2 linked regions of the Kluyveromyces lactis genome follow. The protein of the gene in region 2 binds, or shares a complex with, the protein of the main gene of each other region. Links are inferred from orthologs where the notes say so. Each region holds a gene or a part of one and is shown on either strand. Other genes may lie near its edges. The genes, in order: MRPS9 and RSM28.

Evidence for each region.
Region 1: RSM28 (region 2) and MRPS9 share a complex: the UniProt entries of both Saccharomyces cerevisiae proteins name them as parts of the mitochondrial small ribosomal subunit. The link is inferred for Kluyveromyces lactis from reciprocal best matches to the Saccharomyces cerevisiae genes RSM28 and MRPS9.

The regions. Positions count from the first base shown.
Region 1 is NC_006042.1:1,962,903-1,966,025, reverse strand, and holds MRPS9 (mitochondrial 37S ribosomal protein uS9m), read right to left. Parts: upstream 1,397-3,123; coding exon 503-1,396; downstream 1-502. Other genes in the region: MHF1 (Mhf1p), read left to right, coding at 86-403; KLLA0_F21010g (zinc-dependent alcohol dehydrogenase), read right to left, coding at 2,023-3,075. UniProt on the Saccharomyces cerevisiae protein: Component of the mitochondrial ribosome (mitoribosome), a dedicated translation machinery responsible for the synthesis of mitochondrial genome-encoded proteins, including at least some of the essential transmembrane subunits of the mitochondrial respiratory chain.
Region 2 is NC_006039.1:1,053,244-1,056,322, forward strand, and holds RSM28 (mitochondrial 37S ribosomal protein mS46 RSM28), read right to left. Parts: upstream 1,790-3,079; coding exon 776-1,789; downstream 1-775. Other genes in the region: CORVET complex subunit VPS3, read left to right, coding at 1-687; TPT1 (tRNA 2'-phosphotransferase), read right to left, coding at 2,200-2,910. UniProt on the Saccharomyces cerevisiae protein: Component of the mitochondrial ribosome (mitoribosome), a dedicated translation machinery responsible for the synthesis of mitochondrial genome-encoded proteins, including at least some of the essential transmembrane subunits of the mitochondrial respiratory chain.

The sequences.
Region 1 (3,123 bases), on a different chromosome or scaffold from region 2:
TCGTTTAGAGTTTTGAGCTGGCAATTCCTGACTTGGCATTGTCCTGTGGGCTCTATTCATGGTAGCGTCGTTCAGTTGATCAAATATGGATGAAGAGAAGAGATTACGATCCCAGTTACGCGGGAAGCTGTGGTTCTATGTGGAATCGATTATCAAAAGAGAACTACCAGAAGATGTAAAATACAATTCAAAATATGTCAACACTCTTACTGAACTGGTTTACCAGCAGATATGTGAGGTTGGTGGTGATTTGGAAGCTTTTGCCCAACATGCTAACAGAAATGTTGTTACGTCTGAAGATATGTTACTACGAACAAGGAAGAACAAGGATCTACAAGATTTTTTGAAACTACGACTAATGGAACTACGAGATGCTAACGTAGGACGACAGAGTAAAAGGTGAAAGGAGCTTGTTAAATTATGTAAAATTGCTATATATGTACAGGACTTGTGAAACAAGCATGTGTTTTTTTTAATGGAAAGGTCAGAGACTAATATCAGATCAACGCTTAACCCAGGTAGGCATCTTTCTTGCCTTTCTCTTACCAGGCTTCTTTCTTTCGACGTGTCTGTAATCTCTTGTCAAGACACCGGATCTATGCAATCTAGTTTTCAATAGTGGGTTGAAAGCAACCAATGCCTTACCGATTGCATGCATCAAGGCATCGGCTTGCCCCGTAATACCACCTCCGGAAACCATTGCAAAGACGTTATATTTGCCAACACTGTCAATGGCTTTTAATGGATACATTACGGATTCTCTGTCCTTCATTTTAACGAAGTAATCGTTTAATTGACGGTCGTTAACTAAGATCTTACCTTCACCACGAACCACATATACCTTGGCAGTAGAGGTCTTTCTTCTTCCGATGGCCAAACTTCTACCAAACTCGTCTAATTGCTTCAAAGTATCTCTTTGAGGTTGCAACTTCGTCTTCTTATGGTATTTCGCTAAAGTGTTCGAAATCTCATCGGTAACCAACTGTGGATCAATAGAATTCAAACGGTTCAACATGAACAAAAGCTGCTTATACTGGGTAGATTTCAAACGGGACCCACCACCTATTAGAGCGTACTCTTGCAAACTCAACCAGGAAGGCCTTTCTTCCACTTGGACGGTAGGATATTTGATATATTTCCTCAACAACGCTTCTAAGTTATCGATATGAGCTTCGTGATGTGGGTTGGCGGAGTAAAAAGTAGACAACTTAGGCACAATTCTAGTCCCTGTGTAACCATATTCTGCACCAGCACGGGCGCCATCATTGTACTGCCTTGAACCAGAACCGGTCCTCTCAGACCCCGAGCTGTTAAACAATGGCCTGGCATAAGAGAATAGTCTTTTCTGTACCGTAAGACCCTGTCTCAAAGAGACACCAGTTAAACGTGAGAACATTTTTCTGATCTTTGGTTTTAGTCTCCCCTTCTATCCCTGTGGAAACTGCTCACGAAAGACCTCAGGCGACTAAGATAAAGACTGCTCAGCTTAATTTATGTCTGTCTCTATCTCTATCTCTACCTCTGGTTGAGCTTTCCAAATTTTTCACTTTCTCAGTTTTTCAATCTAGAAATGCAGATCCGTGTCTGGCTCGCTCCCAGTGACAATGTATACAGAGTTAGACATGGAACTTCAACTCGTACAGTGTGATGGTCGAAGCGAACATTGTCGATGTACTTAAGAGGTCAGCTAGTTGGAACGTACCAGTTGTTTTAGGGGTCAGATGTATTCACCTTAAGGGTGATGGTCGCAATGTGTACTGTAATGGTATAATGGTGTTATTAGTTCCCTTTTTTTTGGGTGGTAAGAATTATTATAAAAGAGCTAAAGAATTAAAGTATTATATCGTGTCTCATTTTGAAGGTCTATAAAATGATTTATTATAAAGTTGGATTGATCTAGTAGCACTACACCAGGCGGAATAAGTGGGAAGTAATGATCAGATATGTTTTATATAAACGGAGAGAGGAGGGAAACATATAAAAGGTGAAAAAAGTCATGACTTGAATGCGGAAGAGATTTCATTATTTTGAAGTGTCGACGACGTATCTACCGACGATAGCACCCTTTTCCATCTTTTCGTAGATGGATGGTAGTTCGGACAAACCAACGACGTGGATTGGAGCCTTGACTAGACCTCTGGAGAAGAAGTCAATGGCTTCTCTGGTGTCAGCTCTGTTACCGACGTAAGAACCGACAATGGAGATGGACTTCACAACTTGGTTAAAGACATCGGACTTACACTTGGCGTCTCTTGGTAGACCGACCAATACGACGGTACCGTTAGATCTGACGTAGTTGGTAGATTGTTCGATAGCGAATTCGGAGACAGAGACGTTGATGACACCGTGAGCACCACCCTTGGTAGCTTCGATGACTTCTTCTGGGATGTTCTTGGACTTGGTGAAATCAATGAAGTATTCACCACCCAAGTCCTTGAACAACTTAGCCTTTTCTTCACCAGCATCGATACCCAACACTCTGTAACCCATGGCCTTGGCGTATTGGACAGCTAGAGAACCTAGACCACCAGCAGCACCAGAGATGGCGACCCAGTCACCGGCCTTCAAGTTGGCGGATTTTAGGGCCTTGTAAACGGTGACACCAGCACATAGCACTGGAGCAACTTCAGCCAAGTCAGTACCGACTGGGATCTTGGCAGCTTGAACGGCATCAGCAGTAGCGTATTGTTGGAAAGAACCGTCGTGAGTGTAACCGGACAAGTCAGCTTCTGGACAGTTGGATTCGTTGGACAATTCACAGTATTCACAGGACATACAAGAACCGTTCAACCATTTGATACCAGCGAAGTCACCAATCTTCCAGCCCTTGACGTTTTCACCCATAGCAACAACGACACCAGCACCTTCGTGACCACCAACTAATGGCAATTTGGTTGGCAAAGGCCAGTCACCCTTCCATGCGTGCAAATCGGTGTGACAGACACCGGAGTACTTGACGTTGATCAAAAGTTCGTTAGCCTTTGGCTTTGGAACTGGGATGTCCTTGTATTGCAATTCACCACCGTTTTCGTAGAAGATAACACCCTTTTGAGTTTCTGGGATAGATGCGGCCATTTTATCTTTTTTTAGTATAGAGTTTGTGTGTTTAAAGCTTGTTTATGT
Region 2 (3,079 bases):
GCGAGTTCCACCCAAGATTTGACATTTCTTTACGAGTACTATAAAGCTAAACTTACTGTTTTGAACAGCAAGCTAATAGAAAGTTCCAATTTACCAATTACGGAGTACATTACCAACATGACATATAACAAGTCTCCTTTCAAAGAGTATTTGAAAAATAAGCTGGGTGAGAAAAAGGAATATGAGGGTTGCTTCGATGTAGGGACCAAGCTTCTGAAAATAGAAAAGGCTTTAAATATAAAAGAAGGTTCTATTATTGATGATATCGATGCTTCTTTCGTTCTACGAATCATGATCACAGATATCAGTGTATTAAAGGAAAAGATCGGGTTCGAAAAACTACTTGATATATATTTATCACGGAATGATTTTGCTACGGTGGAGTCCTTGTTACAAGCCAACGATAAGGTAGTGCTGAAAGTTATCGATCACTATCTAAGTCTCAACAATACTAGGGTCATTAGTCAATTCCTTAACAAGAATACGTGTTGTATAAACGACTCTGGGCTACTTATAGAAATTTTGGAAAAAATACCCCCAACCATTCAAATATCAGTGTTATCGGGTTTCCTATTTCCGTTACTCAGACGAAAAGACGAATCAACATATAATCTACAGATTAAGAAAGGAATTTTAAGGCATCGTACTCAGAATATAAACAATATCGAACGTTGTTTAGAACTGTGAAATAGTGTGATATATCATTAAGTGCATTGTGAAAATATATACATGAAAAATAGAGGTTAATCTTGTCTATAGGCGATCTGGCTTGTAATCAAGCTGTCAATTCAGAGACTGGTGCCAAACCGGAACAGACTTTTTGCAAAAGTTCTTTTTCAGTTGAAGCCAAGTTGCTTTGTTCTAAACTCTTTCTCACAATTTCGCTATTTTGCAGAAGTTGCTCTCTTTTGTCTTCTGCTTTTGTTAGTTTGGCAAAGTCCTTCTTTGTGTATGGCTTGAGAATGTGGAAACTACCCTTGACGGATTGCTCAAGTTTTTCTAGATCCGGAGAAATTTGGATGTTTTTTGTCAACGGTTCCACCTGCAATTTCAAAATGGAAGCTGGCACGTATTCACCAAAGTTGTCTTTGTTCGCTGTCATACGCTTACTGACGTTCTTTCCATTAATTGTGACACCATCATTCAATGAACGATGCACAGGGAAGTCGGCGTCTTTTAGTGTTGAAACTGCATATCTGAATGTCCTTGCACTGAAAGTTGGAGCCAGAGCAGGTCTGTATCTTAGCAACGATAACGGTGTTGGATCTTGTGGAACATATACAGCCGAGTTGTGAATATTTTGCACAACGTTTTCCGATCCCAAATTACTGGAAATTTTCAACCCTGGAACGGTTTTACGAGTTTTCCTTTCATCGCTTCTACGATTCTGTCTGGTACCCAAATTTTGAACTTTGCCTGAAATCTCACTATACTCATTAGTACCGGTAATCTTTGGTGTCTGTCTTTTAGCCGTACCTGTTTGTACTACCGGGCCATTGGTTCCTCTAGTATCCGTTCTTTGTGTTCTTTCTCTAAAATTTTTACCACCACGGTCTTGACCATTACGGACTTGTCTATTATCCCTGGGTTTATTTCCTCCGGATCTGTCATCAAATCTTGCTGTTTGTCTCTTATCTTCCCTCCCAGCTGACCTCACCTTTCTGTCAGATCTTGGTTTACGTGGTTCTCTTGCCTTGATAGGAACTTCCTTCACTCTTTGCAAAACTGATGCTAAAAAGTCCGGAGAGACAGAGCTATAAGCCCTTTTAGAGAATGTAGAAGCTAGCATTATTAAGTAAATATATTAATGCTAGTCACACACTTAAACAGATCACAACTTGATATAGCGTTACCTGGTTTATTACAACCCTATACCTAAATATCTCCGTGATACCATAAGAACTAATCAAGTTCATCATACTGAAACGAGTTTCGCACTCTCATAGGTTTTATGAAAGATCAAAAATTTTCAAGGCGTTCAAAATGATAAAAACACACGTGATCTAAATTTCTTATGATGACAGAAGGAATACAACATTCGGTGGGTTCTGACGTTTTGATATGAACTTAATACAACGGCGAGTACATACAGCGATATGCCTCGTCTAAAAATTGATGTTGTCAGTGGAAAGTCTAAAACAAGTCAATTAATTATTAAGAGGTGATATATATATGTATAGATAAAGCGATCAAGTCGTTTCAGATAATCTCGATTGGAACTTTCATCTCTGTAGCCAACTTTTTTAGCTGTTGAAGTTGTTCACTAGATGCTGCAGATCTGCCTTTCCGTACTTGGATGAAATCAATAAATTTCAACGGTATGTCCTGAGAAGTTAGGTAAACATTATTTAATGATTTCACAAGGTTGAGGCTGTCTAGCATTTCCTGGATCCTTTTGATATGGATGTAAACGTTACTAGAACTTCTCATTCCACTGATGACATCCGTATCTTTTCCAGTAATGCCGGGAGACAAATGAACATGGTTCCGTGACATTTTTTTGATGAAACCTGAGTGAAGAATTGAAATGCAGTTTGATACGTTGGTGCCATGAACCAATTTACTTGATAGTTGTTCTATGTTGGTAATTGGTTTTAAAACGTGTTGCGATGGAGCAATTTGCTTCAATGTATGTCCTTGTGTTGCACAGACGTACATTATCCCTGTATTCGGATCAGTTTTGATATGAAATCGTTGCTTGTCATTACTAGCAACAATATGCTGTATTTCTGTTGACGTTGCTTTCAAGCTTTTGAGTCTGTTATGCTGCAGTATTCTATCCAATGCAATGTAACCATCAGAATCTATAGGCAAGTTTTCCTTCACAGCACCATGTCTCAGCAAATAAGCCAATGCTTTCGAAATTTTCACACTTCTGTCCTTAGGTTCCTGCGAATGCGAGGTGTTCATAATGGTTCAGTTAAATCGAGCTTAGCACTTTCTGTTTTCCCCAATAGCTTTGACCATGTCGTTCTCTATCGGTCATACATAACTAATGGAATGAAATATATATGACAACGAAAAAATAATTGGATGGAACCTAATATGAGTCAGATGACACACACGAACGTATATATAG